2 linked regions of the Tribolium castaneum genome follow. The protein of the gene in region 1 interacts with the protein of each later gene in a pairwise test. Links are inferred from orthologs where the notes say so. Each region holds a gene or a part of one and is shown on either strand. Other genes may lie near its edges. The genes, in order: cnc and Keap1.

The links.
Region 2: the proteins of cnc (region 1) and Keap1 interact in binary tests that used the Homo sapiens proteins (3 or more experiments, as listed by UniProt). The link is inferred for Tribolium castaneum from reciprocal best matches to the Homo sapiens genes NFE2L1 and KEAP1.

Annotation. Positions count from the first base shown.
Region 1 is NC_087403.1:2,302,217-2,306,050, reverse strand, and holds the end of cnc (cap-n-collar), read right to left. Parts: intron 1,785-3,834; coding exon 1,152-1,784; intron 1,099-1,151; coding exon 946-1,098; 3' UTR 184-945; downstream 1-183.
Region 2 is NC_087395.1:20,688,657-20,692,924, reverse strand, and holds the start of Keap1 (kelch-like ECH-associated protein 1B), read right to left. Parts: upstream 2,884-4,268; 5' UTR 2,786-2,883; coding exon 2,745-2,785; intron 1-2,744. UniProt on the Homo sapiens protein: Substrate-specific adapter of a BCR (BTB-CUL3-RBX1) E3 ubiquitin ligase complex that regulates the response to oxidative stress by targeting NFE2L2/NRF2 for ubiquitination.

The sequences.
Region 1 (3,834 bases):
AAAGTACAGTTATCGTAAATTAGTACTTCGGGTTTCAAAAGCAGGCTTAAGGAGGCGCTAAAATCAGAATTGCGTCCAAGCGCCCAGTGCGAACTTGATATCCACTTCCTGTTGTAATTTGGCCCTTACTCGGCCAGTTGCTCAAATAATTTTTTTCACGGTAACGGGACAAGAAAAGACAAGTGTAGTTTATTGTAGAGATCTTTATTGGCACCAATAACCAAATATAAGTTGCTTGTAAAAGCAATGTTAAGTGTACAAACTGTAAGATTAAACCCAGCAATTCACTTGACGAAATGCTACACATTCACAGGGATACTTAATAAGCTACTTACAAGATATACAATGTACAAAACCTATACGATTTATAAAAAATATTAGCCTAGTAATTTAATGAAGATGTTATAACTAAGTAAAATATAACCAAGAAGTACGGGTACTACAGTTGTATAAAATAACGTGGTTACAATAAATCACATCCATCATTCAAAAATGATGATTACAGAACGTCTAACTGGCATGAAAATTAGCTCCACTATCTCCCAGTTCCTAGCACCAATAACGTCAGTCACTCGCATTCATCCATTACTTAGAATAACTATGTACAATATGTTATGAAAAAAAGGCATATTCATCACCTGATATTTTCATGTATTAGAAAAATATATTATCGTAGTTCTATAGTGAAATAACGCTTAAAGACAAAGAAAATTAATAAGCACTTTTCAAAGCTTCTTAACCCAGATACAAATCAATAGAAAATGTTTTTCTCAGCACCAACTCTTCGTTTAAATGCCCGTTAAATCAAACTGTTTTTGTATACAGTAAAACTTTTCCAAAATCAATGCGTATAAAAATAATGTTTGAGCAACGTTTGCCGTGAGAAATGGAACTTTCTTTAAAGTGTTACATCAAAAATGTATGCATATAAAACTAGTCAACAGTTCAATCTTTGTGACCTTGAGGTGGTGGCTCCTTGTGTTCTGGATTCGTCATTGTCGAGTTGGACCGAGGGACGACCAATATCGACCCATCTGCAGACGTCTGAAGACTGTATTGGTACGGCGAGTATTGATTCCCATCCGGATCCCGCAAATTCTGCACCGAAAAAATCGTCAGATACCAATATTTGCTCAAGTCACCCCACTTACTTGAAAAACGTGTCTGTATAGCTGCTGGTACTTGTCTTTCATGCGCTGACACTCGCCGGTGACATACTCATGCTCGTTCATGAGCCGCATTTTCCTATCTCGCATATCTTTGACCTCGTCAGCCAGACTCAAAATCTGGTCCAGCTTGCGCTTCCTGCAGTTCTGAGCCGCCACTTTGTTCTTGCCGCGACGGCGGATATCGCGAATCAAGCTCAACTGCGGCTCGCTCAGGTCGTACTTGGACAAGCGTTCGTTGAATTCGTCCATCGGCAAGTTAATAATATCATCGACGGTGATCGGAACGTTCAAGGCACGAGCTCGCTTCTCATCTCTCGTCAAATGCTCCTCGTCACCCTTCTTCGACTTGGTTTTGTCGCGCGAAACTGGACGTTGCATTGCCCCCGTACTTTCAGTGGGCAGGTGGTACGTATGGTTGTGCTGGATGTGGTCGAGGGAGTTTCTCACCAAGTGGCTGTGTCTCCCGAACTCCATCGAACACGAGTACTTCATTTCGGAGGGTTTGGGACCCACGGCCCCCTCCGGCTGGGAGCTGTTGTAGGGGGCTGCCGTGGGGTCGCGGTACTCGTATTTGACGGGGGGCTGGTGGGACACAGCGCTCGTTGCGCCCTGCTCCTGCAATGCGGAATTATGCGGTGCAATTTCGTAAAAAACCAATATTTCCTCAAGATTTTAGCAACGATTACGTGTTTAATATTATCTGTGTGCTTACAAGAATTAAAATAACATTTTGTACTAAGTATTCCAGTTATGTAAGGCATGTTTAAAAAAAAACTGTAAAATTAGAAACATATTTATCAATAAAAATATTAAAAATAAAAATAAAAATCATCATAGTTAACAACTCAACTAAATCGCTGAGTGGAAAAAAGATACATTTTTTTAATATGAAGCCGAGTATGAAACCCGAGATGAAATAAAACAACAAATTTTTGTCTGTGTTTTTATATTTATAAAGAAAGAACATAAATAAACTTTAGATTTAGACAAAAATTTTGGAAAGCTTGTTAAAATGATTTTTTGATTAAATTAAAAATAGTTTTGCACTAATACTAATACGTTTTTCTCTACTGTTGACATCAGAATAAACGATAAAACGTCGATTGAATTTTACTTGGTTTTATAAAAAATTGTCTTAACTAAGACCAAATTAGTGTATTCGGAAAATAAAAATCGTTAATTGTCGGTAATAAAAACTAGAAAAATTTGATTTGTAATAATTAACTTTGCTCAAATGGATTGCCGACTGTTGTTGATAATAAGTGCTAAAGATTTTTTTCTGTTCATTTTTTTACACAAGTGTTTTTTCTTCTTATAGATTTTCTTTTTAGTTCTTACGTAATTTCTAAATTTATTTTCATTTCTATATTGTTTATTTTTTATTATTTTATATTTCTATTAATTTTTCTTTGAGGTAAAATTGAACAGTTTGACCACCTCCCCAACTGTTCATTATTGTTTAATTTTATTCAAGTTGCTGATTCTTCAAATAAAGGGTAAAATAAATTTAAAGTTGAAATGACTTCTTGCCAGTCGATTACGCATATTAATCGGCCAATGTGGTTTGCAAGGTTTGAAAAAGAAAGATATTCGTTTACATTTTACCGGAATATTACTGCACCCCCGTTGGTGCTAAGAATTAACATTGATGATTTATGGACTGTCTGACCCATCCCTAACTTGACTACCTACCGATTTGTCTGGCATCTCGTTCTTACGCTTATCGCTTTTAATTTTTCAATCTCTTCCGCCTTCATTTGAAGAGCTATCAAAAAATTTTTTTTGATATACTTTTGATAAATATTTTAAAAAATTAACACCAACTCATGTTTTTGGCGAAAGTAATTTTGTTTAAAACCACTTAACTCAGTTACAAATAAGTAATGATATACTGTTGTAAAACACCGCAACATGTAAATAAATAAAATAAAGTTATTTTAAAATCTCGGTGCCTTTTATTTAAAAATAGTACCATTTCCGGTTGTTGACAATTTGACGCTCCAAACTGTATTAAAATTAAATAGGGATCCAACCAACGATCTTGTTACATCAAATGTAACCAAAACCATATCCGTTTGCAGTTTTGCTCGACGAGAAAGTGGTCTATTGTTAACTCAATCAGTCATTCTTATCACCTTGTATAATAAATTTGATAAAAATAAGTACTTCTCGAAAAGTGTGTGTTTTGAAAATGATAAGGAAGAGGCTTTAGTTATAAAATCACTTTACGCAAGTTATCTTTGTAATATTTTATTTAAATAAAGCAACACCTTTTGGGGAGACCGTTGATGTAATAAAAACACCAGACACTCATTACTATTTATTTCACTCTAACACTTGTTTCTGTCGATTTAGACTTCAACTTGAAGTAAATAAATTGCGTAAAAAAATAGTTTACGAAGAATTAACAACGCTAAGCCCAAAATGATTTTAAAATCGGTCAAACAACACAAATTAAAAAATTGAGTTTACTTATCGCGTCTTCACATTTGTAATTAAGGATTTTTATAGAAAATAACTAACAAGTATTAACTTTTGTCGTTCGTGTGATCCCAAAAAAATGCAGGTATTTAACTTCTGTAGGACAAAATATTGATAGACTGATTAATATTCTTTGGGTAACAAACAAAGTATCAACAGCAAAGTTTTTTCCATTGTTCCATAA
Region 2 (4,268 bases), on another chromosome or scaffold:
TACAAGAGATAAGATAAGTAAAAACCCTGTTTGTTTTAAAATGTTATTCTCTCATGAATTATGAAACTCCCGGGAATAGACCACTATTTTCAATCAGGGGCAGTTTCTTAAGTGAAAAATCCTGTATGCACAGACTTGGAGAAAATGGTTTATTGGTCGAAAATTTTTTACTCCCAATTATTTAGTCTTTGATGGTACCTAAAATGCCGCTATCAATATGTCATTTACGTTTACATCATCACACAGATAACACTAGTTAATTTAATTTGTATGTAAACATGTACACACAGAGAAATAATTTTCAAAATGACTAAAAGGAAAAATAAAAAACATTGCTTTGGTACTAAATCAAAACCAAGTTTGCGAGAACTTGAAAACTATAACAGCTCCTATGTTCTGATTCTTTGCTCTGATCTTAGCATTAAAAAATTTTTTTTTGAACATATTGGATCTACAGGCTGCTTCAAAAACCAATGCACCAACTCTGTTGTTGTTGAAAAGCATGTGTGGATTACGGGAAAAATCTTGAAAATATTACTAAAGTCATATTTTCAAAAATTTGGAGCGACAAACTTATTTTATTAACTTCTTCAGTTTTCATTATTTTTAATCGTTTTATGTTTCGCACTACGTAATCGTTCCCTAACACAATGGTGAATAATTATTTTTAAGTTTATTATCAGACTTTAGCAGTTTTTTTGTTAAAAAAAAATAAAATTCAATAAAAAATCGCAAACACTTGGTACTATTTTCTAGGAAACAACTTAAAAAATATTTCATTTTTATTTTTGATCAAATTCAATTACGATCACATTGATTCGTTATTTATCAGTAACTTTTATACATAGATTTTTTTACAATTTTACTTTTTATACAGGGTGACCCCCCTGTCAGAATACCTTGTAGATTTAAGAAATAGTCGACTTTTACTTGAAATGTACAGGGTGTGCCATTACATGTATCGATAGTATGTTTCATAGGCTTTCTAATGATATGCGGTTTGTTTACCAAATTTACAATATTTCTTAAAGTGTTCAAAAGAGTAAAAAAATATGTTTTATTTATTTTGTTAATAATTCTTGATGAATGAAATTCATTTATGTATTAGGTAATAATTAGATTACTAATGTAATTAGTCACATCAGTACATATCAAAAATGTACCATTTGACTATCAGATTCTAAGCATATTTTCTTGTAATAAAATACATATATTTTTTAAATCTCGAAAAATATTTTATATTTGCTATGCAAACTCTATTTCATTAGAAAGCTCATTCGAAATACTATCGATACATAAAAAAATCATGGTGTTCTAGCATTTCTCTACGACACACCATTGAGTTGATGCGCCGGTTTTTGAGCAACCTGTATTATTTACTTAAAATCAAAAGTTCCACTTTTGAAATGAAAAGACTGAACTATATTATGCAGAAAATCAGAAAAAGATCTGTGGTAAGGAGAGTATTAAGAAAAATCTTACTAACGTGAGATCGAAAATATTTTCGATCTCATATTAGAGCAAACCTTGAAAGTGAAGTATAACTTTAGTCATATCATATGCTGTGTAAAACCAGCATAAGACAACATAATCTCAAAAGTGCGGCGACCATAAATACTAGGTGTTTACGGTCTAGAAGTCGAAACTTTACCTGGTGCTAAAAGGGTGTAGAAATAAGGTTTAATTCTGTGTTAAATTGGACTCTAGTGACCAATTTAGTTTTGAAACAGATATTACAAAAATAAAATTTGAAAACAAGAAACAGGTATCGAATTTTTATTTATTAACTGAAAAAATAAAAATTATTTTAAAAAAGCAATTGTATCTAAAGTCTAAAGTGAAAAATTTAAATAATAATAAAGATAAGAAATGATTGTAAAGCAAAGTTATCTTCTAAAATATTGCTATTATGCACCTTTCATACTTTCAAAATGTTAATAAATTAAAAAATAGTTGTTTTTGAGTTCAAAATTTGTTAGTAATCCAAAGTTGGATTCTGATGGCTAATAAGACACATTCTGCTATTTTGGTGACTATAATTTTCAACGAAAATTTTAAAATATGTATCTTAAAAGAGTCCTGTAGAATATCGTTTCAAATACTTGTAAGTTACAAGTAAAATAACACAAGCTATACGAGTACGTACATAATTGAATGATTTCTATTACCTATCAACGCTAAACTCTAATATGTATTTTATTAATCATTAAAAAGTTGCTAGGTCTAATATCTCAATACTGCAAATTATATTATTAGTATTACTAATTTATTACAAATAAATCATAAATATTTTTTCGTGACAATTGATAACGAAGTCAAAAAGTTGATGATCTCCACACTCACTCGTGGCGCGATCATACTTTTCTGGTTACCACAAAGATAACAACACATTACCGGCCCACATCTTAGCCAAACAAATGATCAGTTAATTATGCATAAATTGTCGTTTTATTGCTCGTGCAATTAAGATCTTCATACGACAAACATTCGTCAGCAAAAACTATTACTGGATTTTTCAAATAGAATGTTTCAAAGAATTGACTCAGGAAAACATTTCTCGCCAAAGACACAAGAAACAAAAAATCAATTTATAACACCAGAAGAAGGGATTAATTAGTGTCCGGTTACCGACACTGTTAAAACCAACAAACAACAAATTAGAGTATCATTATTTGTGATTGCATGTTCAGCCTTGAAACATACAAAATAAATTCCAGTATCAACTAAATGACTTGCAATCTTACTCTAAATCTGCCGGCCAACCACTATCGCTGGGAGAAATCATTTTTTTTATCTACACATTACGCACTAATATATCACAGCTCGAACAATGGTCCTCCATGCTCCACCGTTACTCCACAACTGAACATGATGGATAATAAATTTAATCAAAAACTTTTATCTATTGAATATATCAAGAAACTTGTTTTGTTATTTTCTGATTTGCAACAGCGAATGACATGATGACTTTTAAAAGCCGCCGGTTACAAACCTTAACGTAGGTCAAGACAAGAATGCGTGAGAAGTTTACATTGCACGCTAACAGTGGTCATTTTTATGCATTAAAAATTATTTACGTTGTTTCTAATTAAAACACACCTGATAAGATGGGAAAATGTGATTATTATTTATTACAACAACGTCAGAATGACTAGAAAAAATGGAGTGGTTAATAACCTTAACAGATTTTTGGCAGGACCCAACTGAAATTTACTTCCTGCAACAGCCTGTAATTCTCATTTTTAAAAATAGATTTCAGTCACATCATTTTTTATTATACAGATTTTTAAGATAAAAGACAATGCATTGTTTCGATAAGTATTTTCCTGGAATGTCAGGAAAACGAAAATACCAAATACTTTTGCAAGTACAGAAACATCACCATATGTAAAGCTAAAATTGTCTAAATAGTTACAGAAGATAGAAAAATTGGCAAATTTCTTAGTCTACATCGATGATGAAAAATTCATATTAAAATTATTGCTAATTAATTGATAAAAAATAATTCGATAACCAATAAATAGCTACACAAAATCACCATGTTTATAGGCGATTGAAATCAAGTTGAATTACTAATTCCTAGTGAGAATTTAGGTCATAATATTAGATCGACAAAATCTCGATGGCTATGCGAAGAAATAACAGATGATAAAAAAGAGTGTCTAAATTGGCTACAATATTTTTTTTTATCTTAAAAGTGCCTTCCGGTTGTCGACAGATTAATACTTGACACTTGTAATTATTATAAAAAGGAAACAACTTTCGTCAACTATTTATCAATAAAAATCATTTTCGATTACAGTACTGGAAACAGTCACTTTTGTTCACCCGGTATTTTATACAATGTGTTCAAAAATGGTTGTTCATCAAGCCACCAATGAAATTTGAACGTAATGTGCCGCTTAATTTAAATTGTGAATGCCGTCAAAGTGACAGAGCCGTCAAAATAATGCAAAAGACCTCGAACTCAAAAACGAAAAAATACAAAACATCAAAAATCCCGGAAATAAACTTTGCTGAAAAATGCAAAAAGTGAGTAAAAGTTTAATTCAAGATTTCACAGAGAAATCACAATAGTCATTGGGAAGAAGCGGCACAATGAACTTGAATTCCATAGTCAACTTGATAAACAACCATTTTTAAACACTGTACTTAAAAAAATACATTCTTTACCGAAATTAAAATTTTGTAGACAAACATTTTAACTATTTCATTTTTCTCTCAGTCTGTCTACGTCAAAAAAAATAAATTTTAGCAGTGTTAAATTA